Rhinolophus ferrumequinum: one gene and its partners. The main gene of each other region encodes a partner of the protein of the gene in region 4 in a complex. Links are inferred from orthologs where the notes say so. Each region holds a gene or a part of one and is shown on either strand. Other genes may lie near its edges. The genes, in order: VAMP7, STX7, STX5 and BNIP1.

Evidence for each region.
Region 1: BNIP1 (region 4) and VAMP7 share a complex: the UniProt entries of both Homo sapiens proteins name them as parts of the SNARE complex. The link is inferred for Rhinolophus ferrumequinum from reciprocal best matches to the Homo sapiens genes BNIP1 and VAMP7.
Region 2: BNIP1 (region 4) and STX7 share a complex: the UniProt entries of both Homo sapiens proteins name them as parts of the SNARE complex. The link is inferred for Rhinolophus ferrumequinum from reciprocal best matches to the Homo sapiens genes BNIP1 and STX7.
Region 3: BNIP1 (region 4) and STX5 share a complex: the UniProt entries of both Homo sapiens proteins name them as parts of the SNARE complex. The link is inferred for Rhinolophus ferrumequinum from reciprocal best matches to the Homo sapiens genes BNIP1 and STX5.

What each region holds. Positions count from the first base shown.
Region 1 is NC_046284.1:5,140,823-5,148,176, forward strand, and holds the start of VAMP7 (vesicle-associated membrane protein 7), read right to left. Parts: upstream 3,021-7,354; 5' UTR 2,866-3,020; intron 1-2,865. UniProt on the Homo sapiens protein: Involved in the targeting and/or fusion of transport vesicles to their target membrane during transport of proteins from the early endosome to the lysosome. Required for heterotypic fusion of late endosomes with lysosomes and homotypic lysosomal fusion.
Region 2 is NC_046286.1:79,645,154-79,653,062, reverse strand, and holds the start of STX7 (syntaxin-7), read left to right. Parts: upstream 1-4,893; 5' UTR 4,894-5,034; intron 5,035-7,909. UniProt on the Homo sapiens protein: May be involved in protein trafficking from the plasma membrane to the early endosome (EE) as well as in homotypic fusion of endocytic organelles. Mediates the endocytic trafficking from early endosomes to late endosomes and lysosomes.
Region 3 is NC_046294.1:8,020,025-8,027,379, forward strand, and holds the start of STX5 (syntaxin-5), read left to right. Parts: upstream 1-4,339; 5' UTR 4,340-4,494; intron 4,495-4,705; exon of another isoform or gene 4,706-5,151; 5' UTR 5,152-5,170; coding exon 5,171-5,395; intron 5,396-6,422; coding exon 6,423-6,493; intron 6,494-6,649; coding exon 6,650-6,705; intron 6,706-6,822; coding exon 6,823-6,893; intron 6,894-7,355. Other genes in the region: WDR74 (WD repeat-containing protein 74), read left to right, coding at 1,248-1,323, 1,462-1,608, 1,761-1,862, 2,127-2,227, 2,314-2,369, 2,686-2,831, 2,912-2,968, 3,279-3,458; TEX54 (testis-expressed protein 54), read left to right, coding at 3,649-3,730, 3,837-4,048. UniProt on the Homo sapiens protein: Mediates endoplasmic reticulum to Golgi transport.
Region 4 is NC_046307.1:38,787,671-38,794,942, reverse strand, and holds the start of BNIP1 (vesicle transport protein SEC20), read right to left. Parts: upstream 3,019-7,272; 5' UTR 2,954-3,018; coding exon 2,870-2,953; intron 1,089-2,869; coding exon 996-1,088; intron 1-995. UniProt on the Homo sapiens protein: As part of a SNARE complex may be involved in endoplasmic reticulum membranes fusion and be required for the maintenance of endoplasmic reticulum organization. Also plays a role in apoptosis.

The DNA of each region.
Region 1 (7,354 bases), on a different chromosome or scaffold from region 4:
AACAATGATGCAAATACCTCTTGGGTGGAGGCATCTTCCAGTGGAGGTTGGAGAGTTTCAGGGAACTGATTGGGGGGAAAAGGCCAAGTCAGTGTTTCTCACACTCAAGTCCGTGTTCTGAGAAATGTTTAAATTCTATAGTTTTATTTTGGGAAAATTAAAAAAAATGTATATGAATATTCTAGATCATCCACACGTATATCTTATAAATGAGAGATGGCACACAATTCAGTGTTCATTTGCATTAGGAAGGCATAGGCAGCAAGAAATTCCCTAAAATGACAATGCTTAATTTTTAATGTCTTAGAAGCATGTCTGGCTGCTCTTACGTTGGCACATTCTAAAATCATAATGACAGTCATGAGTTAAGCACTCTTGTATTCCTGTTGTTTTTAAATCGGTTATAAAGATAAAATTTATCTTTTGCAGTAATAATTTACAATTGAAATATATCTGCATGGAACAAAACTTTTAAGAACTGAGAAGTTTATCTGCTATTCTGAAAATGACAGTGAGGCAGAATAACATGAACCATACATTATCTCAGGCTAAGGAGAAAATGATACTCAAAGATGTGTTTGTACCAAGAGGAAACCAAATGATACCATAATGTGCTATATGAATAAAGGTTGTGCAACTGTTCAAACAGAAAAAAGTGGAAGAATCAACTCATTGCATAGCACATGGCAATAGTCAATGCAAAATAAAAAGCAAGCATCCTGTATCATCACTTATATTATTGCAAGGGGATGTATTATGCTAATCCTTGCAAGAGTTGATTAGCAGAATGTTTCATAGGAACACAATGAATACTAAATTTTTCCCACCCTTGTTATCATGGGACATACTATTAAATTGGCCCACTGAATGAAATGGGGGCCTGGCACGCAAGGTGCTCAGGAAAGAGATGGGAACTCGTTTTAGGAGGGAGCTAAGGAACAAGAGAAGACACAGACATGAGAACAAGCTAGAGAAGGTAAATAAACTAGCCTGATGAAATGGAATGGTCCACATTTGGTGAATGACAAGGTTTAGGGATAAATCTAATGGCCTTATATAAAGAAGGCCTCGTACAAATTAAGTGATTTGGATTGGATCAAGTAGTTTTTCTCTTTCAGTTCAACACACATGTTCTGAGGGTTTACTATGTGGCAGTCATTATAGTAGACACTGGAGACATGAAGAGCAGTGAAAAAAGACCTCTACATTCAAGGGAGTTATATACAATGGGGAAGACAGACACAAACAAATAAATGCAATAAAGCTTAATGAGTGAATAATCTAACAATGTACACAATTGTTCGGGAGATTTCTTAAAGTTCTGTGATAATCTCACCTTGAATGAAGAAAAAAGAATGCAGGTGAGAGCCTATGTATTAGGAATTTTCTCAATGTACTGTTACAACTATTTCTCCTTGGAAGAGAGTTCAAAGTGTCTATTTTATCCTCACTAGGTTCCCAGTGCCCAGCAGTGCCTGGCATATACCATTCCCTCAAATATTTGTTGAATAAATGAATGAACAGTATGTTTTGGTTTTATATATACTATAAATGACAGATAACTTTATATTCAGTAGGACCTGGCAAGAAAAATATTTTGATTACCAACTATCTCCCTAAGTAAGATAAAACAGTTGAGCTGAGAATAATCCAACCCCCAACTCTTCTGTCTGGGTCTTAGGAGGAACTAAGCCAACGACAGATAAACCACCAATTCTGATGTAATAACGCTGGGGGAGACAGAAGAATGAAGAACAAACATTGATATGACAGAAGAAAAGACGGGTATTTATGAAAAGCCTTAAGTCTGGTCACAGATCAAGACTATTCTTGTTGGTATTAGAAATATTCTTTTTGGGTGATGCTCTGAGCCCCAACCCAATTCCTCTGACTTTTTCAGGATAGGAGCCTACTCTGTCAAGTCAACCACCTGTGTTATTTTACATTCACCACCACCACCACCACATTACACGATCTTGATTACTCCTGTTTGCTCCCACACATAAACATGTAAGCTACTGAGAGTAGTGATCTCCTATGTCTTGTTTCCAGCTATATCCCTTGCGCTTAGAAGAATGTCTAGCATATATTACCTGTTCAGTAAATATCTATTAAACATATAAGTGGGTATGCTCTCAACCACAGCCATTCAAAGGCAGAGAATGTCCCAAACATGACAGTATCCTCTGGGATCAAGGGTGGGACAATGGAGGTACAGATAGTTGAGAGCAATGAATAAGACAGAAAAGGATTTGATAACTGATTGTGGGGATTATGGGAAAGGGAGATGTAAAGCATGTCCCAAAGAATCTATTACATGGTCAGAGTTGGCCAATAATAACAATGACGCCATACAGGTCTAACGCAGAAAACATATCTGGGCGGAGATAAAAGTTCCTATCACAACTGAGGTAGAAGAATGTCAACACTGGGTGGTAGAGAAAGGGCACGCAAAGGACTAGAAACCCACGTGGGAGCTCAGAAAGAGGAGATGAAGTAGAAAGTGACGTCATCGAAACAAGGGCGTAGCGAGGAGTTCTCAGAAGGCTGAAGAGATGTCAAGAGATTCAAATGCTATAGAGAGGTCTTGTAGAACGCGAGCTGAGGGAAAGTTAACATTTTTTTCCCTTCTGTAACAACTTAAGTGACGCATTCTGACACTCTTTAAGTCGAGGCCATTTCAGTGGCATAAAACGCACTTCGCCAAAACTGGACCTGTCTGACATTTCGAACTGTCGACACCAGAGAAGTACGTCACCCTTGCGCTGCCTCCTCCTCCCACCCCAGTACGTTCAGATCGACACCTCTGCTCTCCCACCGCCGTCATTTCCCTGCCTTCCGCTGAGCGCGCCCCGCTTCATTTACCTGTCCGGGCACCCTCTCAGAGGGCGCGGGCTCGGGACTGAGGGGCGCGGGTCAGCGCGGCGTCGCCGACCGCCCGCTCCCAGAGACGGTAGGGACCGGACGCCGCCAGCTTCCGGGTATAGAGCCCCGCCCGCGCGCGGCCTCCTGGGAATGTGCGCACTCCTCCAATGGCTGCGGGCGGAGGGGCGAGGCCTGAGCGTTCCCAGCCACCGTACTTCCCAGGAGCCGCACTGCATTCTGGGAGTGGTAGTTTCGACTGTCATACGCGGAGGCTGTCACACGTTCGTTCAACTCTTGTAAACAACGGCAAGCACTGTTCCTCCGGGAAAACAAGAGGATACAGGGCCACAAAGAATTGGCCAGCACTGAGTCGGCGGGATAAATGAAGAGTCGATCTTGTCCCACCATCTCCCCGCTTAGTCTCAGCAGGTTACGTCGCCTACTTCACAGACAAAATAGAATTCGTCTGACAGGAACTCCCTGTACTTCCGCCACGAAAATTTCTAACCTCCTTGGACCCCTCACAGTCTTTTCTCTCATTCTTTTGCAGCAGCAGTAGCAACAACAACAACTACTAGTACTTTGATCTAAGTTCCTCTAGCTGCTTTGCATCACTATTCCCTCCTACCAACTCTGAGGCTAGCTCCACTGATGAACGCTTCTGTCTCCCGACACTTCTTACTCGCTCTTTATTGTCAACATTTAAAGATTGTCAGAGTTTCTCTCTTCTAAAACATTCCAGAGTTACCTTTCTCAACCCTACACGCCCCCCCAAAAAAAAACACTCACCACAACAGACTTAATCTTGTGGTCTTCCTCCCACCTCTCCTTTCCAGTCAAAATTCTCAACATAGTTGCTAAAATAAATAGGCACTCTTAAACTATTACCATACTTCAATTATGTCAATTTTACATTGATTGTTTCCTCCTCCTTGAAACCTTCTCTTAGTTCGAGCCACTTTAACAAAATACCATAGTCTGGATGGCTTAAACAACAGAAATTTATTTTTCACAGTTCTGGATGTTGGGAACTTTCAGACCAGGGTGCCAGTATGGTCGGGTTCTGGTGAGGACCTGTTTCCTGGCTCACAGACTGCTGCATTCTTGCTGAATTCTCACAAGATGGAAAGACGTCATCTCTTTCATATCTTTTTTAAGGGCACTCATCCCATTCATGAAGGCTCCACCCTCATGACCTAATCACCTCCCAAAGGACCCACCTCCTAACACCATCACTTGAGGAGGGCTCAGATACATTTGGGCGGGGAGCACAAACATTCACTTCATAGGAGCCTCTAGTCTCTTAGCTCTTTCTAAGATGTTTCACTCTTCCTGGTTCCCCTCTCACTTATGTGACACATCCTCATTTTCCTTTGAAATAAATTTATGTTTCATAGGACTCTGCCCTAGACTCTCTTTTTTTTCTTACTCTTCACACTTTTCTTGGGTGATCTTAACCATTACCATTGCTTTGGTTGTCATCAGTATGCTGATTGCAAGGCCAGACAGGACTCCTATAACCCAGACCTAAATATCTCACGACAGCTGGGCATCTCTTTCAGACACCTAAAGCTTAACGTAGTACTCACTTGGCCTAATACATTTCTACTCTCTTCTCTCCCATAACCTGCTCCTCCTTCTGTAATACCATCTTGGTGACTGGCACTGATTATGAGGCACTATACACAGGGTTCTACTCTAATGCATACAGGATATACTATCCTTTAGTTGTTATCAGTTCTGGGTGGGCTATACCGTGTTTCACTGAAAATAAGACCTAACTGGAAAATAAGCCCTAGCATGATTTTTCAGGATGACATCCCCTGAATATAAGCCCTAATGCATCTTTTGGAGCAAAAATTAATGTAAGACGCGATCTTATTTTCAGGGAAACATGGTAGAGATCAAGTACATTCAGGAAATCGTGAACAAAATGATCTGGGCACTAGCAATCAAAATTAATGTCTCTGTACCTATTGTATCTCCTTCATCATCCCCCCTTTGTCACTTGATATTGTCTCTAAAACAAAACCTGATCACTTCAAAATCCTACTTAAAATCTTCATTGGCTCCCCATTATGTAGAGGATACATTCTAAGATTCAAGGCTCTCCATGAACTGATCCCTCTCTACCTTCCCTGCTTCATATTCTGCTTCTCTCACCAACACACCCTGTGTTAAAGCCTGCTCCTCTATGGTAGTATTCACTCATCCATGCATTAATTGCTTCAGGAAATGTGTACTAAGTGCCTACTGGATACTGGAGATATAATAGTAAACAAGACAGACAATGTCCTTGCATACATGGAGTTAGCACTTCAATAATATACTCTTTCACACCTCAGTGCCTTTGCACATGCTGTCCATTGTCTAAATCTTATTTATTCTTCAAGACCTGTCTCAAATAGCATCTCTTCATTTTTGAGCAAAGTATATGCTTCTTTTTTTTTAAATTTTATCCACCCTCTGCAAAGCTTTGCTTTACATATTAATTTATTTTTATTTAATACCTATACTTTGAGAGGCAGCATAGTATCTTAGAAAGAGAAATGAGTTTGGGAGCCTAAATCACCCCATATTCTCTCCTAAAGTAATATCTGTGCTCCAAAATTTGAATCTCTAGCCTAAGCCATTATATTGGGAAGTCAAAGAAGGTCTCTCTAAGGCAGTAACACTTAAGCTGAAACCTGAATGTCAAGGAGGAGTCGGCCACAAGAATATGAGAGGAAACAGAAATAAAGCCAGAGCGACTGATGGTAGCAGAAATAAGGGGAGAGTGGTAGGAGAGAAGATCACACTGGCCTTCTTTGTGTTCCTCAGATATGTCAAGTTCCTCCATATCTTATGATCTTTGCACCAGCTTTCTCTGCTTGGAGTTCTGGTCTCTCTTATCTTCTTGTGACCAGAGGGTCTTGCAAGGCTAGGAGAAGATGTTTGGATTTTGTTCTAAGTGTAATGGGAAATAATTAGAGAGGTTCAAGCAGAGGTGCGATGTGATCTGATGTATGAGTTTTAAAAAATTTATCTGGCTTCATTTAGCATGCCAATACATTGTCTATCCTAGCAATAAATTAATATGTACAGTTTTCAAAATATGTTGGGTAGTTTCCAAGAAAAAAAATGCTTCTGGATGTGTACACTAAAGTACATGCAGAACCATTGAAATAGGTGGTTTTATAATTTTATAATTTTCAAATTCAGAAGTTCCGGTACCATTTCATCAAGTGACTGATTTTTACAATCCATATTTTACATAGTTTGAGTTTATGGAGTAAAGGTTCCAATTTCCATTTCAGTTCCTGTAGCTACCAAGCCTGGAATTATAGAACTGATGGCTTAGATAGCCTATTATAATCTAATCCCCTAGTTGTACACATGAGAATTTTTCCGGTCTTGACAAAGATTACAAAGCTAAGATGAGATGGAACCTGGATTACAAATCAGCTCGCATATGCTAGATGCTCCAGAAATGTCTGTTGGACTAAAATACCACACACACACACACACACACACACACACACACACACACACCGGGGGGTGCCAAAATGTATACAAGTGGACATTTTGGTCAACGTTGCTTAAGCAGTAGTTCGCTGTAATCAGAAGTGTCTGGACGCTGATGGTAACCACTTTGAGCACCTCTTGTATTTGCAGTCGTCAAACACGACTTGTATTCACCTTTTGTTATCGGCATATATTGAGTATTGTTATTTTAATACAGTTTTTTTCCTTAAAATGTGTATACATTTTTTGGCATATATATATATATATATATATATATATATATATATATATATATATATATATACACATACACATACATGTATCTGACTGTCTCTTTGGAACCAAAATCATTCACAATATTGCAGCTTTTCACTGATCATGAGTGCTGTTTATGTCCTTTATCCTGGATATTAGGATGTGGGCACATTTTCTTCCTGTTATTCAATGCTCAAAACAGACCTACCTCAAGAATGTCTGTTCTCCTTTGAATTTCCCAATCAGCAGAGGGAGGTAACATGTTGTCAATATCTACAAAATCTTTGACCTTTTTTTTAAATTAAAGTTTATTGGGGTGACAATTGTTAGTAAAGTTACATAGATTTCAGGTGTACAATTCTGTATTACATCATCTATAAATCCCATTGTGTGTTCACCACCCAGAGTCAGTTCTCCTTCCACCACCATATATTTATTTGATCCCCCTTACCCTCATATACCACCCCCGTCCTCCCTTAACTTCTGGTAACCACGAAACTATTGTCTGTGTCTAAGAGTTTTTGTTTCTCATTTGTGTGTCTTGTTCTTTTGTTGTTTTTGGTTTATATTCCACATATCAGTGAAATCATATGGTTCTCTGCTTTTTCTGTCTACTTATAGACCTTGGGTTCAAAGAGCGTTTTATGAATTTGACTCCAAAGGCAAGGGAAGTAAAAGCTAAAATAAATGAATGGGATTATAACAAACTTAAAAGCTTCTGCACAGCAAA
Region 2 (7,909 bases), on a different chromosome or scaffold from region 4:
TTCTGCTTTCTTTGCCCTTTTCAGTCTAAGATAAGAAAACTCATTCAGGTAAAAGGAATATGACATAAGTTATAAACTTGGATCTACTCAAAGAAATGAAGATTCAGAAATGAAACATATGAAGGTAAAATAAATTTTTCTCTCATTTTTAAATTGCTCTAAAAGATGGACAACATCTCACTAAAGAAAGCATATGGGTTTCAAATAAGCATATAAAAAGATGTTCAACATCATTATGGAAATGAAATTAAAACCTCAATGAGATGCCACTACATGCCTATTAGCATGGATAAAATTAAAAAAGAAAATCTAATAATATCAAATGGTGAAAAGGATTTAAAACAACAGCAATCCCCCATTCATTGCTGTTAGGGATGAAAAATGATACAGCTAAATTGGAAACAATTTGGCAGTCTTTTAAAATTAAACATGTACAACCCAATAATCCCACTTCTAGATATTTACCCAAATGAATTTAAAACTTATAATTTTATCAAACCCTGTATGCAAATATTTATAGAAGCTTTATTCATAATTTTCAAAAATGGAAACAATCAATAGGTGAATGTATAGACAGTTTTACATCCAAATAATAGAATTACTTACTCAGCCATAAAAAGAAGAAACTGTTAATGTATATAACAATGTGGATTTGTCTTAAGTGCATGCTGCAAATGAAAGAAGTCAGGTCCAAAAGGCTACATATTGTATGATTCAATTTATATGACATTCTGGAAAAGGCAAAACTGTAGGGACAGAAAACCAAAGGTTGGGGAAGGAGTTGACTAAAGGTACTACAAAAGGGGATTTTAGGCAGATGACACTGTTCTTGTTCTGTATGGTACTGGGGTGATGAATAGATGACTCCATGCATTTATCAAAATTCCATAGAATTGTATACCATAAAGAGGGAACTTGACTCAAACTGAAAAAAAAAAAAATTTAACCAGGTGTGCTTGGTGAACACCAGACAGAATGCAGACAATATGATGATTGAACTTGACTGTAATACAAACATGACTTCACTGATGGAAGTGGGGGAAAAAAGCTGATCTTGGTAATTTGAAAAACATTGTAAGGCTAAAGACAAAAGAATTGTTCATAAACACTGTACTCAAATTTTTCTCTCACCGGAGCGTGAGTTAGCAACTCTGAAACTACATTGTACAATAAGTAATTGAATTAGATAATGGGAGCTAGGTTCCTCACTGTTAGAGAGAGGAAGTGAACAATAATGAAGCCGGGAATGTTAGAATGAACCCTGTGAACTGGATTACAGTTGGAAATATCTATATGAACTCATATATATACACTTATATATATATATATGTATATATGTGTGTATGTATATATATATATACAGATAAAATTATAGATACATGTGTATACATGAGTTAATATACTTACATTTATTTCTTAGCTCTGTGCACTGAGAAGGCATAGAAGCAATCGACACCCCAGTAGCAATGAGAAAGCTAGAGTGCAGATCTTTGAATACAAATACCATTTTCCAGTCAAAGAAACAATGGCTTCATTGTAAAATGACTGATTTTAGAGCCAGAGCAGGGAAAATACAAGATAAGCCTGGAGCATCTTGTTGTACCAACAAGTAAGGAAATGCTGGGGAAGAGAAGGGGAGGGAGGTGCTCTCAAAAGGACACAGGAGCCAACTTAAAAAAATTCCCAGTGATGGAGAGGCAACTTATTACAACCTACAGAATAAAATAAATATCCATAAATCTATACTGATATAAATAAATGATTAAAATATAAATGAATTTGGGAGAAAAGACAAATATTCCCTACAGAAGAACTGAAGGAAGTAGAAAGTCACCTTTAAAACACAACAGTAATAACTGCTGTAGGCAAAATATACTAATGAATGCTAGTCAGTGGGCAAAACTTTAAGGAAATGTAGGTTATGTTCACGGCCTCCAAGTATCTCTCTCCCAATATTTATTTACTGTGGTAGTTTAAATATATGTCCATAAATTTTTTTACATTTTTTCATTCCAGAGGTGGAACTCAGTTCTCTTGATTGAATAGAACTCAGTTCTCTTCTAATGAATATAGTATGGAAATGGGAAAATGGTAACTTCACATTGGAGAAAACTCACAGACATCGTATTAACCAGGTGATCAAGGTTAACAGCAGCAGTCATAGATCATGCAAGTTTCATGTACCACATGAAATGATATGATGAGAACACTTTACCTCCATGGTATTCTTTCCAAAAGTCTATGACCCCGTCTAATCACGTGAAAACATTAGGCAAACCTAATTTGAGACCATTCTACAAAATTCCTGACTAGTAGTCTTTAAAAAGTGTCCAGGTCATGAGAAAAAAGGGAAGACAGAAAACTGTCATAGATTGTAGGAAACCAAGAAAGCAAGCTGTGTAAATACAACATGATATCCTAAATTGGATCCTGGAACAGAAAAATCAACATTAATGGAGAACTAGTGAAATCCAAACCAAGTCATAGTTTAGTTGATATTACTTTACCAAGGTTCATTTTTTTTTACTTTTAACGAATGCGCCATGATTATGGAAGATGTTAACATTAGAAGAATCTCTGTAAGGTGTGTATAAGAACTCTGTGCTATCTTTGCAACTTTTCTGTAAGTCTATAATTATTGTAAAATAAAGAGTTTACTTTAAAATGAGGAGGGAGAGAGAACATATTCTAGTTGAAGGAGACTGCATAAGCAAAGCACAGAAATAAGATAACCTCTGGTGTGTGGTTGGACAGCTGGTGGGAGGAAGGGAGGAGCAGAAAGAGATGAAGAAGTTCTTTAAACTTGCATATTCCAAAGCATAAATTTTCATGCAGGGGAAGGCAGGATCCAGATCATGTAGGTCCTTATACTCGTATATAAGGTGACCATATAACATCGCTTCCGAAATGGGACACTTTTGATAATGAAAGTGGGTGCTCTCTGCAGACAAGAGGCTGGGACAAGCATAGGCTGGGACTGTCCTAGAAAAACTGGACGCATGATCACCTTATTTATATGCTATAATAAGGGGCTTGGACTTGATTTTGAAAGCAATGTTTTCCACAATGTATATTCTGCAGGAACTTATAGCCATTAAATATAAAAACATTTCATGGTCAAATACATTTAGAAAATACCAGGTTAAAGAAAGTTCTTCTTTTTTTACTGAACAACTTCTCAGAGCCTATAATTTACAAACATGCACTCTGAATCTTCAAGAATGTATTATACCATGGGTTTCCAGACCTTTCTCCATACACACTCTTCCCTAATTCCTTTCCTCAACCTATACAACCCAGTAAGCACCCCTACTTTTTTTAAGGAGTGTTTTTTTTGTTTTGTTTTGTTTTTGTTTTTTTAAGGAGTACATTTGGGGGCATGTTGCAACCATGGGGATGGCATGAAGCCTGGAGTGATGTTTTCAGTTTTGTGCTTCAAATACTCAGTGGTGACTCAGAAGATAATAAAGTCGAGTACAACCTGAGGTAGAGATGCCATTGAGGAGGCTATTGAAGTGGATCCAGACACCGTGAGGGATAGAGAGTAGAGGGCACATATCAACAATATTTAGGAGGTGAGAAATGAGAAATGAACGTACCGACCATGGGTTAAATGTCCATTAAGATTTCTGTGGGATGCCTATTTATTACCTCTGTGTTTAAAAATCAGAGCAACATCTGTTCTGTGCTTGACATATCACTAGGCACCTGTGTGGTCTTAGAAAGAAAACAAGCAGATTGCAGAGGGAGCTCGGAGGTGCTCCAAAATAATCATAACAAAACAACTGTTGTTTATTAGGTATTACTTTAGCTGACTTTTAATATAGCACAGATTTAAGAAAGCATCTGTGTTTTCCCATTGTGTTTTAAATCAAAAACAAGCTTTCAGAAGTCAATCTGTACCTCTCATTTATCAATAAATTCATCCTGCTTGGCCAGCATGCCCACCTCTTTCTATTGGTCCCTCTTTACAGAGGCAGAGTGTAAGTTGCTGCTTATTATCACACTTGCAGTGTAGTTTTCTTCAATAAAGATGAGAAATAGAAAATATCTCTTGCTCCCATTTCTCTGTTAAAGGTGGAAAAATGAAAGATAAACTGAAAGATTCTTGTGTTTCTTATCCCTGGCTGACCTGACTTATGTACGATATGATTATGTATGTGTAATACCAAACAACCTAAAATTGGCTCAGGTGGTACCAATTCAAAATACTGTTGTTTTTTTTCCCACCTAAGTGCGTCTGGACTTTTGATGTTCTGATGATCTTTTCAGAAAATAGTGTTGCCTTAATATAAGCAAAGGCCAAGCCAATCTATCTTCTACTTAATTTGGTGAGGTATTTCTTTCACCTGAAGAAACTGATGCTTTTTATCTAACAATGACATTATGTTTGAATATTATTATAACACTCTGTTCTTTTCAAACATATGAAAACTGTGTCCTGTCCTTCAAGGATGCTTGGAATGATTTGTACATGCTGTGAAAACTTGTCTACTAAATGAGCACATAAAGGTGACTCTTCACTTATTTTCCATTGTTCCTGCTAGGACTGTGCATTTGTGTGTCCCCCCCCCCCCCTTGTTTTTTTACTGGAGCTGTGAATATGGTCTACTGCAGAGTAAAGGGTTAGGAAACAAGACAGGCATGAGCTGATGGGGCGGGCTGAAGACATGCATCAAGAGAGGCCGGCATCACCCAATAAAGAAGACAGCTGCCCTCCATTCCCTCCTCGTTTTTTGCACGCAAGCTAAGGCGTTCACCATCTGTATGTCAGGCCTCAAAAAACACCTCCCTTGCAATTTTGCTGATACCCCCATTCCTTAGCTTAGAACGAGGGGGCGGGAGAGGACCGCGGTCACTCATCCCGCGGCCAATTGGAGGGAAGCGAGCCCCGCCTCCTTCCTGGGCTGTACTGCGGGCATGCGCAGTGGGCGGCCTACCTCCAGCACCCTTCAGTTTAGAATCGTATCTGGGGGCTCTGGGGCCTTTGGGTGCCCGTGGCCGGAGCAGGAGGAGGAAGCCGAGGAAGTTGGGGTAAGCGGAACCTGGGGGAGGGAGGGTGACCGGCCGGGAGTCCCGGAGGCGCAGTGTCCCAGCGGCTGCCGCGCCTCCCTGTTTGTACGGGATGTCAGGTGGCCGCCGCCCTGCTCTTTGCTGCAGGCGCTCGGGAGGCGGAGGGCGGCTGCTCCCCAGCTCTGGGAACCCCCGCCGCTCCCCGCGCCCCCCGGCTCGGCGCGGGTGCGCGGCGGGGTCCGGCGGCGCGGCCTGGAGGCCCGGCCCGTCGGGCCAGCCCCGCGCCGGCAGCCTGGCCGCCTCCCCGGCCGCCCCTCGGGCGCGCGGTGCCGCGGTCACTCAGGCGCACCTGCGGGCTGCGCGCCCCCGTGCGGAGCCCGCCCGGGAGCCGACTCCGGCTGCTGCTCAGGAATCCAGGAATCCAGCTTCGGCCTCGAGCAGAAGACGAGTTGACCTCTTCCTCTTTTTAACTCTCGGATTTAGAAAACACATTTTAAAGTTCTCTTCCCGGATATAAAGGAACTAAAAACATATGGCTACAGTAAAGGAACCGTATACGTTTATTCAGGGACTCATTGTTGATTTTCTATTTGGCTTGATAAAGCTAACTTGGTCTTCTCAGTACATGTCATTAATTGCTTTATATAAAGATCTTTAAAAATACGTAAAATATTTCGAGATACCTCCCCCTCTTGTTTTTCAGGTTACTTTCTTTCAAATCAAACTTGGAGAAAAAAATAACAGTGCTTTTCTGGTCAAATGCTATATATATATATATATATTTTTTTTTTTTTTTCTCAAGTGCCTTGTATTTGCTTGGCTCTTACTTACATTCATTTTTGTTTCATTCCGGTAAATGTATATATTAACTTGCACAGAATCTGAAAGAAAAGGAAATGATTATGAAGTCCGGTTCTGTTTAGTAATGCTGGGAGTGCAGGTTTCTTCTGAGGGGTGGCCTGAACCTCACTCGGCATAAACTGATAGCACGGTTACACTGTGCATTGTGATGTGAACAGACCTCTGCTTGACAGGCCACTTTGAGGAGTTTGTCTCAAACTACTTGTGACAAGTTCAGAATTATGCTCTAGTTTCAAAGTTTCTGTAGAAGTTGATATGATACCGTGTTAACTCATTAACGTCTGCATCATTTTTCTTTAGATATTTCACTTGGGCTGCTCCCCATAACAAAGTCAAATGTAGTTTTGGTTAGGGTTACAAACGTTAGCCAAGTGCCAGTGGTTGAAAAATGTGTAAAACCTGAAGTAAGTCTGAGTAAAGTTTGCCGTGATTCTATTTAATTTGGAAACTTAGTGTATGGAAGGATGAAAAATAATCCTTTGTATTGTGAACTAAAGCCAAATAATATACTGTTTTAACAGATGGAAGAGCTGAGATAAAGAACGTGGTTAATCTAGTTGATCTGGAGAATGCTCAGGTCCATAGAGTAATCACCCTTCCATTCATGGAACATCTGCCATGCACCTGACACTAAATTCCAAGGTTCTCTCTCTCATGTATATTCCAGAGGTGGGGATAGATAATAAGCAATATACTAATTAGATCATTTTAGATGGTGATTAGCACTATGATACAGTAAGTTAGAGAGATCAACAGATTGTGCCGGGGTGGTGACATCTCACTTCAGATGGGAGTGGTCACCGAAGACTTCCCTAGCATGTGATGAGACCTTGCTGGGAAAAAATGAGCCAGTCACATGGAGGTCATGGGAAGAGTTTTCTAGGGGTAGGAAATGGCACCAAGGAAGCAATTAGCCTGGGACATTCAGGATCTGAAAGAAGGTGCTGGAATTCAGTGTCTTAGAAATGGTGATATTTACCCTCAAACTGGTTGTGTGTTTTTAGGAAATAGGTACCTGTATTCAGTATTCTACAAATATTTATTAAGCACCTATTATATAGCCAGGTACTGAGAATACAGCAGTCAACAAAATAGACTGCCTGCCCCTCATTAATTGGTTTATAGAAAGACCTTTAAAAACACATAAAATATTTCAAGATGCCTCTTCTTCTTGTTTTTTAGATTATTACTTTCTTTAAATTCAGATATAAAGAAAAAAAACATTGCTTTTTCCGTCAAATGCTATATTTTGACAGAAATATATTTTCACACTTTGGGACATGAGGTGGAGGGAAGGCCAGTTCTTTACGCTGGTCCTCATGCTTAAGAAAGTGAAACTGACTTTTCTGTTGCTTTGTGTATAGATGTATTTGTGCATATCGATGGAGGGCCCATCTAAGAGAGTACATAAATAAGAAAAGGAACATTTCCTCATTCACTGTGTTTGTGTTGGCTGTGTGCCAGTTTTTCTAGAGCTCTAGTTGATAGAAGGAAAGGAAAAAGAAAAATGTCATTGAGCCAGCAGAAAATGGTCTCTATCCATACAGTAGAATATTATTTGGCAATAAAAGGAATGAAGTATTGATTCATGATGCAATATGGATGAAATTTGAAAACATGCTAAGAGAAAGAAGCCAGTGTACAAAAGAACATGTATTACATAATTCCATTCAAATGAAATGTGCAGAATAGGCAAACCTATGAAGACATAAAGTAGATTAGTGGTTGCCTACAGCTCGGAAGGTTGGCAAGAAAGGGGAAGTGACTGCTGATGTGTATGGGCTTTATTTTTAGGGTTCTAAATGTGATGCGATAGTTGCACAACTTTGTGAATATTTTCAAACTCTATTGGACTGTACACTTTAAATTGGTGGGTCGCATGATATGTGAATTATATTTCACTAAAGCTCTAAAAAAAGAGAAAAGATGCAGGATTTAGAAATCCAATTGGTGGTTTGTAGGATGCTTGGGAGAGTGTTGGTCTCATTGAATCCCCAGGTCCAGCCTTGTTCTGTGTGAGCCCCAGCACTGCAGG
Region 3 (7,355 bases), on a different chromosome or scaffold from region 4:
TTTTTTGAGTGACCCTGAGCAAGTCATTTAATAGTTAAGAGGATGTTTTTAAACGGGGCTAACAACCACCAACAAGGTGATGAAGGTCCCAAAGTAAAGGATAGGAAAGTGGTGTCTTGGGTTAGGTTACCGGCCCAGCTTTCTTCCAAAGATGGAGAGAGGAGGTTGTGAACAGGCTGTGTGTGTTTGGTAGTAATAATTCTGACAGGCGAGGTCTAGGAGGCTCTGTGTGGGTGAGATGTTTGAAGTGAACCTTGAAGGATTGGTAGAATTTGGGCAGGTGGAGAAAGGGGTAAGGGCATTCTGGGAAGAGGCTACTGCCTTGGCAGAGGCCAAGGATTGATGTCTCACTACAGGGTACCTTTCAGGGGCGATCAGTAGTATTTGGGGGTTGAAGCTGAGGAAGCGTTTTAATACAAGATAGGCAGGGTAGGTTGGGTTTCATTGTAAAGGGCTTTAAATGCCAGGCTGAGAGATTTGTACATTTGTAGGTGGTGGGGGTTACTGGTTTTTGAGAGGACAGTGCTGTGGTCAGAGCTGTGAGCCTGTAAGAGTGTGGAGGATAAATTGGAGAGGAAGCAGTTCAGAGACTGTTGCCATAATCCAGGGAAGTGATACAGACCCTGAACCAAGGTGGGAGGGTGAGCAAATGTGAGAAGGACCATAGGTTCGGGCTGTACAGCTCCTGGGGAGAGACTTGCTTGGGCTTTGTGGGAGGGGTACTTTGAGGGAGAGATCGACATTTAGCGTCTGGAACCCAGAACATGGAACTCAAAAGAAGCTGGTGTCTGACTTTGGCCAAACCCTAAATCCAAACCAGTCCCATTTCAGTCCTTTCAGAGTTATTGATTCTGACTCCCTGGTGTCTGACTCAAGAGTCAGAAAGACCTGTGGGGCCGGGTGACCCCAGATGGAGCTGTGGAATACAAAGGCATTCTCTGCTTTGGAGTATCACAGACTTGATTTCCAGCTCTGGTTCTGACATTCACAGCTCAGTGGGCAAATCTTTTAATTGCTCAGAGCTTGTTTCCTCACTTATAAAACTGGTAAAGCCTCCCTCTGTTGAGGAAATTAAACAACGGGAAGCTGGAAGCTGCCAAGCCCTGTCCAGACCAGAGTTGCCTAGAGGCTTCCTTAGGAACAGGCCTGTAGGAATTTAGTTTAGTTAATTTGGGGGTGGGTTGAAGGGAGCCTAGAGGATACTTTCACTTTTTTTTTTTTTAACTAAGTCTATCTTCCCTCTGCAGCACCCTCATCACATGTGTGGATTCTGGGATTCTTCGAGTCTGGGGTGACAATGACAAGGAGACATCCTCCGGCCCAGTGAGGCTCCCCTGCCCTGATCCCTGTGGTTGGGGAAGGAGGGGGCCAGGGTGGGAGCTGAATGAAAGCTTTGGGGGAAGAGGATTAAGGACTCTGGAACTGACTCTCATCCCTCATCTCATCTCCCATTCTTTTCAGCTCCTGGAACTGAGGGTGGGCCCTGGGGTGTGTAGGATGCGCCAAGACCCAGTGCACCCCCACGTAGTTGCCACGGGTGGGAAAGAGAATGCTTTGAAGGTGTGGGACCTGCAGGGGTCTGAGGAGCCTGTGTTCAGAGCCAAGAATGTGAGTGATGGGTGGGGAGGGGCTGGGTCTGAGGTCCAGGGAACTGAGGCCATTATGAGTCAGAGACCATGGCTTTAGGGGTGATGGAGGGCCGAAGGAAGGGACACATTGAGCACCCCACAACCCTGCCCCCCATCTACCCACCCCACCAGGTACGGAATGACTGGCTTGACCTGCGAGTTCCCATCTGGGACCAGGACATACAGTTCCTCCCTGAGTCACAGAAGCTTGTCACCTGTACAGGGTACCATCAGGTGAGAGACCACCCCATCCCTACCTCCTGGCTTAACCTCCCAACCTGGAGGATCGCTTCCCTCATCCCTGTCCATTTATGCTCCTAACGGCTCTCCCCCAACCCCCTAACACTCAGAAGAGGGATATATTTCAAATGAGAAAGTTTCTCTAAGAGTGGGTTATAAACAGCAAAGCAGTATATGAAGGGGGTGTTGAAGACGTGGGGAAGCCATAGGGGGGTATGTGGAGTGAGGGTACCCTGTGATACCGCAGTCTTCCTCCAGGTCCGTGTCTATGATCCAGCCTCCCCCCAGCGCCGGCCGGTTCTAGAGGCCACCTATGGAGAGTACCCACTGACAGCCATGACTCTCACTCCTGGGGGCAAGTGAGTGTTTAGAGGGCAAAGAGTGGGGTCAGGAAGGACTCTTGGAGGCTCCTGCTGACCCCACTTTCCTCTGACCTCCTCCTCAGTTCAGTGATTGTGGGGAACACTCATGGGCAGCTGGCAGAAATTGACCTTCGGCAAGGTAGTGGACTGGGGAGCCTTGGGGGAGGGGAAGGGTAGGATGCCCTCTAAGGCACGACAGTAGAGCGGTTGAGCCCTCATTCAGGTATTAGGTTATCTGAGTTCAAATCCTGGTTTCAAAAGCTGTACGACCTTGTACAAATTACTTTGACTCGCTGTGCCTTAGTTCCTTCACCTGTGAAATGGAGATATTAATGGTAATTTCTACTTCAGCGTTATGTTAAGGATTAAATATTGAAATGTAAAGTGATTTGAATAGTAAACAATAAATGGTTGTTGGCTGGTCAGCTGGCACTGATGCTTACCCCCTTCTCCAGGGCGCCTACTGGGCTGTCTGAAGGGGCTAGCGGGCAGTGTCCGAGGGTTGCAATGCCACCCTTCAAAGCCCCTCCTAGCCTCCTGTGGTTTGGACAGAATCTTGAGGGTACACAGGATCCGGAATCCACGGGGCCTGGAGCATAAGGTGAGAGCCTGCTGCCAAATGTGCCCCCATTCATGTTTCTATTTCATGCTTGGTTCCTTAAGGTACCTCATCTTTTGCAGGTTTATCTCAAATCTCAACTGAACTGCCTTCTCCTGTCAGGCAGGGATAACTGGGAGGTGAGCAGTTGTGTCTGGGAATGTGGGAGCCAAGGACGTAGATGTGAGGATTTATTTCCCTGTGGGAAGAAAAAAGGAAGCAGCTGGAACAGAGACCTGGGACTATCCATCTACCTGTCGCATTACTTAATTTTTGTGAGGAATGTTAATAGTTACAGTCCTGACAGGGTTACTGCCAAGGGTGACAGGAACATGGGTGGGAATGAGTTCCCAGAGCAGGAAATAAAAGTGATTGTTTCCCAGCTAGAGCCTCCTTCCCAGTGGGTCTATGACTGTGTCCTTGACACTGAAGCTCTTCTCCACTCACCAGGATGAGCCCCAAGAGCCTCAAGATCCCAGTAAGGTGCCCCTAGAAGACACAGAGGCAGATGAACTTTGGGCCTCTTTGGAGGCTGCTGCCAAACGGAAGCTCCCTGATTTGGAACGGACCCCAGGAGCTCTCCAAACCAGAAAGAGAAACAAGAAGCGGCCTGGCTCCACCAGCCCCTGAAGAGCCTGTGTTCACTTTGTAAATAAACAGCTCGACACCCACCATGACTCGGAGCCTTTTGTGATGGTAGAAATGAAAGAGGGGTGGCTGCTCTCTAAGCTGAGGCGATGGGATATCTGACGTCACAAAAGCCTGGTGAGAGCCAGGTGGGCTGGAGTGGGTGGTACCCAGTGCCGGGCTTGCACAGGCCATGGGCTGCTGCCAAGACAAGGACTTTCAAACCTCCAAGGGTCACGCCAAGGAGGCCCAATCAGAGGAAGTGGAAGAGGAAGGTGGGATGAGACACACCAGGGGACCCAGGGGGCTGGAGAGGGGGAGGGCCCAGGAGGTTGGACGGGGAGGGTAGAGCTGAGCTGAGCAGCCTTGTCATTCCCGCAGACACCGAAGGGATTGATGTGGACTCGTCGGACCACCAGAATCCCAAGCGTAACAAAAGCCTGTTGATCACCGTGCTGTGGAGGCGGCTATCCATGTTCAGCCGTCGGGGCTCCACGCGGTCAAACAGGAGGCAATCAATCCAGAATCAAAAGCATGGGTGTATGTTACAGAACAACGCGGAGAAGGTCCTGGAGGAGCCGGAGAAGGGGTGACCCCAGCCCTGCTCTCAGTTCACCCCATTCAGAGAATAAAGTTTCTAACGTGTACTTGCCGGAGCGCTTATGCTTCGGCTGCCTGCTCTGGGCGAACAAGGCACGGGAACCACCGGGGCTGCGGTCTCTTTAAGGCTCCTCCGCTGAGGCTGGCCCAGCCCCCTGGGTCCAGGCTCTGGTTCCTAGGGAGCGGAGTCAGGGGAGAGGCCTAGCCAATGGGAGGGCGAGAGCCTCCCATTGCGTTTGGGTGGGGGGCGTGTCCCTTGGGTTGCCGAGTTCAAAAAGGCGTGGCACCGCCTCCTCGTCACCGGGGGTGGGGTTACGTGTGGGTGACGTGGCGGCTTCTAGTCTTTGGTCGGGTTTCCGCGGCTTCGGCGCCCGGGGAGGAGGTGGTGACGACCCGGGAGATTGTGGTAGCGGCGGCAGCGGCAGGCGGCAGAGAGGAGGTAGGACTCGCTCTAAGAGGGGTCTGGCGGCCGTGTCAGCCCCCGGTAGTGGCTTTCCGGAGGTGGCGATGGGCGGGGGGAAGGGAACTAGGGGCGCGCGGACAAGTCCTGCCGGCCCGGCTCCGGGTGAGCGAGTACCGCGCCGTCCAATCAGGAAAGCTCCTGTTGAGAAAGACGTCGGCATTACCTAATCAATAGTTGCCGTCTTCCAGAAGGCGGGGCTTGAGCGGAGGTGGGACTTCCTGTTTCAAATAAACACCCAGAGATTTCCCCCCTCCGCCCACCGAAGTGTGTACCCCTCCGGAGGTCGGTCTTCGTTTCTCCCTGAGGAGTCGAAGAAACCCGTGAATACGAGAGGGCCCAGTTAGGGCCTACGGCAGATGCACAGACTGGGCTGGAGCCTTGGGTCCACGGGACCTGCCTTTAGCCCTGTCTCTGCTTCAGGGACCCCGGCCCACGTTCTGGCTGCCTGAGCCAAGGTGGAAGAAGAGGCTGAGGAGGGGAACGGCTTAGGCCGGAGAGGAAGCGGGGGGTCCTGCCCATTGAGGGCCGGCCCCAGGATCTGAGGGTGGCTTTGGGACCCAAGGATTTGCTGGTTGGGGGGAATTTGTGGGGAAGGAGACTGCCTGGAGAATGACACTCTCCCCTCCACAACAGTCCGAGGTTATGCGTCTCAATGATCCCGCGGAAACGCTACGGGTCTAAGAACACGGATCAGGGTGTCTACCTGGGTCTCTCAAAGACACAGGTCCTGTCCCCTGCAACTGCTGGCAGTAGCAGCAGCGACATCGCCCCTCTGCCCCCCCCAGTGGCCCTGGTCCCTCCCCCTCCCGACACCATGTCCTGCCGGGATCGGACCCAGGAGTTCCTGTCTGCCTGCAAGTCCCTGCAGAGCCGTCAGGTAAGGACCAGAAGTGGGAAAGGCAGGAATGAGCTTTACTCAAATTTGGGAGAGGCTGTGCTCCAGCACTGTTGATTGATGTAATTTTTTTTTTTTTTTGATTGGAGTAATTTTTGTCGGAAACTCTTGGAGAACTGATCAGGCTTGCAGGCTTGGAGGGGGCAATAGAGAATCTACTAAGAGGTGGGCAACCTATCTAGAGGCAAGCATCCAGACTTTTTTTGTGAGGAATCCCCTGGAAGGTAGGGTTGCTATTCTGGAAGGAATATCTCAGGATGAGAGGTGGCTGCAATATATTTCGTTTGGATAAGGAGCAGGTTCTCAAAAGAGCCTTTAACCCAGAGACAAGCACTTTGAGTTCTAGTTCTGGTGGAGTTCTACCACTATTTGCTCTGTGACCACGGGGAAGTTAGTTGGACCTCAGTTTTTATATATGTAATTTTTATCAAACTCACTTTGAAGTGCTTTTCTTAAAAATTGCTTTCCCTTGTCTCAATCCGGACTTTATGAATCTAAGTGGGATCTGTGTGACTGTAATTTTATTAAATATTTTTACTGCTCAGCTCTTGTTAGCAACTGTTCTTCTGTATGAGCTTTCCAATTATCCTCTTCAATTCCCTGATTGGAGTACAGTGGTAGAGTGGTGATAGGAACTATTATTTATTTGGTGTTCTCAATGTTCCAGCTATTTGGCTAAAATACTTTGCAACCGTCTTCTTGTTTAATCTTAGCAACGATAATATGAGGTGTGTGGATTGTCTTCATTTTATAGAAGAGGAAACAGATTCAGAATGGTTTCAGTAACTTGCCCCCAACCCCCCAGTTAGTAAGTGGTGGAGTCAAGATTTGAACCCAGGTCTTCCTGTCTTCAACTATGGACTCTAAACTACTGCTACTGATAAAATTAGACCGTCTGGTGGAGGATGCCACTGGTACTAGACAGAGAGTTTAGTGGACACCTGAAAACAGTGAAAGCTGGAAATGGGGAGGGGGAATTAAAGTTTCACCTGTTGACATTGCTTTTCAGAATGGAATACAGACAAACAAACCAGCTCTGCGTGCTGTCCGGCAGCGCAGTGAATTCACACTCATGGCCAAGTGAGTTGGGAGAAGTTATGTGGTGTGCTGATACAGTGTCGGAGGAGAAGTGGGCTTGCCTTTGGTGGCCTGGCAGTGAGGGCAGGATTGGTTGTGCTGGAGCTAGTGTGGAAATAGACCCTTTCCCACAGTGTTCTCACTCTTGCGTCTTTACAGGCGCATTGGGAAAGACCTCAGCAACACATTTGCCAAGCTGGAGAAGCTGACAATCTGTGAGTGTTCTTGCGGTGTTTCAGAGATGGGGCAGTGAACCAAAGAGGGCTGAGGAATTGACTCCCTGAGCCTTGTCTTTGACCTCACCCTTCTTGCCTTCTTGTTTGTCTCTGCAGTGGCAAAGCGCAAGTCCCTCTTTGATGATAAAGCAGTGGAAATTGAGGAGCTAACGTATATCATCAAACAGGTGAGCTACTAGCTAGCAGGAGAGCCCAGCACTCCTGTCGGGTCACATCCATCATTTTCCATTGCCATGGAGACCCAGAGCAAGTTCCTAGAGCCAGCCCAAACATCCTGCTCATCCATTGAGTCAATAGAAACTTACTGATCATCTGCTGTATACAAAGCGCTGTGATGAGCACTTGCCTTACAAACATGAGGCAAGATTTCTGCCTTCAGGGGCTTATTGTCTAGAAGAGGTAACCAGCCCCATAAACTCAGACTTACAGTGAATAGGAGGAAAGTGTGCTGAAAAGATCATACAAAAAGATAAATGAGATAGTCTAGGGACACTGGGAAATATTTCATAGAGGAGGTCAAATCTGAGCTGGTTTCAAGGTTTGTGTAGAGGCCGTGGAAGAACATTCCAGACAGAGGAAACAGTGTTTGCAGAGGCATGGCGTGTACAAGGGAAAGCTCAAGTCTTTGC
Region 4 (7,272 bases):
AGTCTCTGAGTAGAGAAAACTATGGAAAGATACATAAGTAACAAATAAAGGTGGTTGGTTACTTGTTTGGAGAACACAAAAGGAGAATAACTGAGACTTCGCTGTGTGCCAATATTTACACACATACACACACATATGTATAAACCATGTGAGAGCAACACCCTTTCAAAAACATTAAAATGATTAAATCAGTGCTAGTGATGAAGGCAGAAAAGACACTACGTTCAGCGACACTGCTAAAATTCTAAAGTGAACTCCTATGACAAAAAGTGTATTTTCAAAACTGGGCTTGAAAACCACACAGGACATAGACATACTGTTTCTCAGGGTCTAAACGGCCAGTTCTTCTACCAGCTTTGGAACAGACTGTCTTCTTCTGTTAAGGAACAACAGTTGCTGGCTGGCATTTGGAGCCATGCGATATGAAAAGCAGAAGTCTTTAAACCTCAGTACCATATGCAGCCAGACCAGGTGCGCAAGACTCACCCAGAGATGGGCAGATCCACGCCCCCCATTTTACCCTCACTGAAGGCACAGAGGCAGCAACACCTGTACTATTCAAACTGGTACCTCTCCCTGTTGGTTTTTTAAGACGGCACCTATACCACAGTTGAATTCAAGAGTGTTATATGTGCATATGCTGTGACTGGTCACTACAGAAAACAGAAAGGAAGGGGCTGGGCAAAGCGGCAGCCTGAAAAAAACAACAACCCAGGAGACAATGGGGATGGATTGGAGACAGCGCGAGAGAAAAAGCAGTTCAAGTGACCTCAGAGTTTTCAAGTTGAAAAATTCCAAGCAAAGACGACTGGTGTCCCTGCCATCCACTTAGCACAGCTGGCAGTGCTCTGCACTCCCAGTTCCTCATTTTTACCTGGACAGCAGCTTAGTACAGTTACTCTCACTGTCTGAATGTTTCCTCAAGAACCTGGACAGCGGTGAGTCCCAGGACCAAGTCCCCTGACTCTCAGCATCTCAGTTCCGCAGCCACTCACCTGGATTCTGTGTCGTAACTGTTGAAACTTCTCTTTCACTTTAGTGTTCAATTCAGTCAGTGCACTTAATGGTCCTGAACAATCTCGAATATCCTAGGAGACATCGAAGAGGTGAGGGGCCTTTCTCAAGGCAATGAAATGAAATGACACTGTCTGTACAGTGAGAGCGTTAGCTTAGACCACCACTTAAGGTAGGCCTACTGACGTGATCGCTGCTGTTCACCTCTGCGACACAAGCAAGAACGTTATCATTTACATTTTTCTCATCCCTCTTTAAATTAATTTTGAGTAGGTAATATAAAAGGATACAAAGAAACACAACTCTGTCTCGACTTATTAGTTCCTAAAGTTTAACAAAATGCCACCCGACCGGTAGGAAAGGCTTAACGCAGCTTGTGTGTTCAATTAAAATGCACAGCCAAAAGTGATACCATAACTTTAGAGCTTTCCAACTTGAAAACCAGGGTGCTAAATTCCTGGCATCGTAGGACGAGATTGACTTCAATCTGATTCTACAAACCACCTACTATAAATCACAGTGTTTATACACATATTCTAGGGTAGACTTAGAATTTGTTTCTGAACATTCAGAATTACTGGAGTCAGGTTTTAGAGCAGGCCCTACAGCCAGACTATGTGAATTCAGATTCTTGCTGTAGCAATTTACTAACTATGTAACCTTGAAAAAGTCACTTGAGTTGTCTGGGCCCGTTTCCTCATCAACACATTACCTAACTCATAGACCATGTATGTATGTAAGGTGCTTGGCAGAGGAGCTGGAACACAGTAAGAGTGCAGTGAATCTAGCTATCATTAACCTTTCTCATCAGAGTCTAGAATTGGTCCGTTTCTTAGTTTATGCATGGGAGAAGGAAGTTCAAGAAGTTTAAATGTTTATATCAAGTTTCCTCATTTGTTCTCTGGCTTACTCATTAAATCACAATTCCTGGCACCATATGATAAACCACTAATTCAGTTTATTTTACATCTGGTTTCCGTGGGGAGCCCTCCTTTCCTTCACTTTTTGCCTCAGCTAGCTGCAAACTTTGAGCCTACGCCTGATGTTTAGTAACATTTGTGGGAAATAGAAACGACTTGCTTAAAACAGGGTTTAAAACTCTTGGTTTCTTTTGCTAACCTCAAGGAACCATTTCTACATTCCTAACTCTTGCCTATGCCATGGTTTATTGTACAGCTTTCTGCCTTTAAATGGCGTGAGCCAAAGCACCTTCAATTATCTCAGAGTAGAGACTAAGTCCCTTCTGAAGGCCGACTTTCCCCGTGCAGGTCCCAGTTTTGCTACTACCTGCCTTCTGATCCAGGCGTTGGCACTTGACTCGATTCCCTCATTTAACAAAATCACAACTACGGTTCAGGTTACATTCATTTCATCCGTGCCAAGTGGTCTTGAGTGCCACGGGGCACCGGACCCAGCGGAGCTGGCCAGCAGGGGGCAGGGCTAATGCCTCCAAAGCGCTACCAAAAAGTGGGGCGGGGCCAAGCAGGGTGATAGGTAGGTTGTGAGGTGGTCCTGGGCGAGGCGCCAGCCAGGGGTGCGGATGGCAGGGACCAAGCAGGGCCACAAAGGGGAAGCCTGGTCAGGGGAGGGGGACACGGGGGTGTCCCGGATGAGCGCGAGCCAACGACACCCGGATGGAAGCTCAAGGCCCATGGTCAAGGGGAAGAGGGTACAGAGAGGAGGTAGCCGGCCACAGAGCTACCTATGAGTGCTCGGGGCCCGTCCTGAGTCCTCCACAGCTGGGGTCCTGACCAAGTGGGGAAAGCGCGAGAGTGAGACGGCGGAGCTCCCTGGAGACCAGCGGAGCTCGGGTGTAGGGCGGCTGGAGCCCGACATGGGTCCCGGGAATCAGTACCTGGATAAGCGCCTTCACCTCCAAGTCGAATTTGACAATCTCTTGGTTACAGATCCGGACGTGGACATCTTGGGAAGCCGCCATGTTGGAGACGCCGACTACAGGCAGCGGCGGTGGCCAAGTTTAAACGCGTTTCGGCCTCCCGGTCTCGCGGCAGCGCCCCCTATAGACCGGCCCGAGGCGAGCGAGAGTGGCGGCGCCGAGTCGTGGGGACTTGTCCTTGACACCGGGGGCGGGTGAGGGGGCAGGGCGGAATCGGCCTCGTTTCTTGGTGTGGTCCTAATAAAACGGAGAGGAAGAGAAGAGGGAATATCAAGAACGCTTTCGCGGTGGCCTCTCCCCCATCTTCCGCCTATCTGCCACTGTAATGGTTACAGATTTTTTTTGCATATAGAGAGAAAAAAAAAAGATTGGAAGGAAAGTATCGATTGGGATGTCTCTGGAAGGTGGCATTAACAATTTTTAAATATTTATTTAAACTTTCTTGTATTTTCATATTTCACAGTGTACCCACTTCACGTCTCTGTGCCTCAGTTTCCTCAGAGGCTACCTGGTGGAATCACAGGGTGGGCTGAGGATTAAATAAGACATGAAAAGCACCACGCAGTGTGGTAATGCGACATGTGGTAAGAACACAATGCACCTTGACGGCTATTATTACACTTCGGGAACACTTCCTCTGTACCAGGTACTTGTACTAAGTGCTTTATGTGTATCATCTAACTTAACTCGCATAACAACCCCACGAGATAGAATTATCCCATTTTACACACGAGGAAATAGGCAAGGAGAATAATAACTTTGCCCGGCGCAAATGGAATTGCCAGGTCCAAGGGTATGTGCATTTAAAAATTCTGCTACATGCGACCGAACTGCTCTTCACAGAGGTCATTATCAGTTTATACTCCCACTAGCATGTGGTACAAATGCCTGCTTTCCCACGGCCTTGCCAACATGATGTGTTAACAAACACTGGGATTTCTGCCAATTTGATTAAGTGAAAAACGCCATCTTTTATTTTGCATGTTTCTTATCATGAATGAGGTTGAGGACTATTTGTATTGACTTATTGTTGGCTCATTTCTCTATTGGGTTGTTGGTCTTTTTCATATCAGTTCCCAGGAGCTTTTTGTGTATTAGGAGGATTATGCCGTTAGCCGTGAGCTTTTTTCTTCGCCTAGAGAATGTTGAGTTAGTTGGCTTACGGTGTTTTTTTGGCCTTCAAGGTTTAAATTTTTTGCTTTATTTTTGTTCCACATAGAATTTACCAGTCTTTATGACTCCTGGATTTGAAATCCAAGTTAAAAAGGCTTTTCCCCCCACCCACAGGAATTGTTTTTATGATTTTTAATTTTTTTTATTTTACATTAGATCTTTACCCATTTTGAAAAGTATGTTGGCTTATGATGTGAAGTGTAGAGCCAACTTAATTTTTTCTAGAGGGTTACCCAGTTTTTCCAACAGTATTTTCTGAAGAATCTTTTTCTCACAGGTTCAGGATGCCACATTGACTAAATTCTTATGTTTGAATCTATTTCTGTCATTAGCCTGTCCATTCATTCATGCACCAAAATGACACTCACAATGATAGTTTTATGTATTTTACTATGTTGGGATTGAACACCCCCTTTTCTTTCCCCAGCATCTCCCACCTATTCTTTTCCTCATGTGAACTTAGTTTTGTTTTTAACCCTATTGGTATGTCCTTCCTGGGATGGCATTACATTTTTTATTTAACTTAGGAGAACTGACAGCTTTGTTCTCTTGAACAGTTTCTTAGACTGTTCCTGTTCAAGAACTTGGTCTATCTGTTATTTGTTCAAGTTTTCTGTGCCCTTAGTATTTTCAAGTTTTCTTTAGACCTCATGCAGTTCAGTTCATTCCTGGCAATGTTCAAATTAAAACCTTTTAAAGAAACTGAGGTTGAGATTTTTCAGGTCATACGTTCTGGATCCCCAAACAAAAGCTCCCTATTCCAGACAGTGAAGAAGCCCAAAGTCTGCAAGTGACAGATCTGCCCATGTGAGCTGGGGCCCTTTCACATCATGCTTCTTGCTGGAAATACCTGTGCAATCAACAGTTCCCAATTGCCTCTCTCAGCAATTTAAGAAGAAAACACATCTCCCCATTTCTCTACTCTCCGACATACTCCATTCTAACAAAAAGACCCAATTCTAAGCCTGCCAGCTAGCGGCCATCTTTGAGAGAGAGGTTTGCGATTTGGTGACCCACTGCCAAACTGCCAACGCTGTTTTGTTCTCATCGCCTTTACCCACTGATCCTGAGACTAGCTTTTGGTTACTAAATGTGTTAGGTTTTGACTTTAGTCCTTTCTGGTTGTCAGATTCTAAGCCCATTATCTCCATTCCACACAGACATCCATCCAAATATTGCCTGTGACTTGGCCTTAGGAGTGTGAATTGTTTCCGAGTGCAGCAAACAGACGGAGTTTGAATTGGAGCTGTTATATGTTGGGTCCGGGGTGAGTGCCCTTATCTGAGTCTAGTTGATGACCACCCACTTCACTGGGCAATTGAGAGCAGGAGCCGAGTTCTCTGACAAGACAGCACTGAGCAGGGGCTTCATGAATGCCACCCTGACCATCTAGGACTTTCTCACGCCTTCTTGCTGTTCTGAACCTTCCAGCTGGGACATTAAAAGATTTCCCAGCTAAAGTTTTTGTGGCTAAGGAGCTTTCCTGGCTCTGAAATCAATGTTGATGAGCAGGGACAACTGAATGACCCATCTAACTGGGTGACACAGGAGGTTTAGTTGTCTAAGGACTAGACAGACCTGACTCACCCAGCTCCTTCAAGTTCCTAGACCATGAAAGAGGCTCCTGTGAAGAGTGGTCTTGAGGTCAAGTCCTGAAGCACAACCAGTCCATGGGAGGCTATGTCCACTTTGCTTCCTGACGGCCTCTGTGTCACTCAAGGGAAGCAAAAAGGGCTCCTCTTCATGGGTCCAGGCATGTAAGGAACACAAGCCTGTCAATTCTTCTCTAACATACCCCACTGGATGTGGTATCTGTGTCCTTGCAAATAACTCGGCGGTAACATATCTAGAGCCCTTTGCATGTGTAACAACTCTTGTGTTGTTCTGTGGTCCTGTTCACAGGCCACCTCCCTCAGCAGACTGGAAGTCTCTAGTCTCCTTAGAGCCCAGTACCTAGGCACAAGTCTTGGCAGAAGGAGCAAGTCTGTTTGTTCGCTAAAGGAACTCACTGCTACAGTGGTCTCCCAACTGAAGGCTCTATGTATGTCCAGCCTAGCTTGAGGACTTACTTGGAATTATTAAACACACAAAAACCTACAGATGTTTGAACGAATAAGAAACAAAATATTTAATTTCCCTCAGAGAAATCACTTGTCCAAAGAATCAGAGGAGAATAACTATACACTAAACTATGCTCTAAACTATGAAGAATGCAAGTGTTATCAATAAATAATTCTACATTATAGATAAGTTTTGCTAAATTACTGGAGGAATCAGCCCACAGTGTCAAAAAAAAAAAAGTTAGCTCTTTGTACACTACACCAAGAAAAGGGGGGGGGGGCGTGATCCATAGTTCATTGCTGTCTTTAGTTTGGAATTTATTTGCAGTGGATTTTCTGGAAGGGAGTTGATGGTTACCTTGGTAAGCAACAGAAGAGCAAGAGACAGAAGGGCAAAAACATGAGGCAAACAATTCAAGAGCTTTTCTTTTCATCTTTTTTTATTTTAAATTACAAAGGATGTTGCATACACTGATGAATCTGTATCTGACTAGAAGTGCTGAGGGCTTGGAAGATGACAGAAAACAAAGGCAACAGCTGAATTGCCTTTTCTTCTGAAAAGAAAAACTGCACAACTATTAACCAACATTTAATAGAATAATTTTTAAACAGCTCATGCGTCAACAAGATAAAATTCTTTCTAGACAAAAGACAAGACTGAATCCAATAAAAAGTTTCATAGCTCCAGTTGAGGGGGGTGGGGAAACAAAACTACAGAATATTTATGATAGCGTTACAAACAGGATCCTACACAGCTATGCAAGAGAGGTTGCCACATTGTATGAATAAATGCTTTGAATTCTTGCCCTTCCACTCTTGTGACTTATGTGCGGTCAGCCCTCGTATCACTGTTAACCACAAATTCTAAGTTATAGGACAAATCCTAGGGAAAGAAGGTAAAAAAAAGCAGGCAGTGGAGTACAGTGTCATAAAAATGTGGTCAAAGGCAGATACAGTACACACATACACATTTCTGTTATTTGGTTCTGAAAAATAATAGGGCGAAGGGCAAGACACAGTAATCAGTCCCGCTCCCGTCCCCCCAGAATTCAACGACACCATTGTGTTGACAGTTACGAAAGGCAAACCTAGTTCACCTGAACTTGGCACACCGAAATACCCAACTCG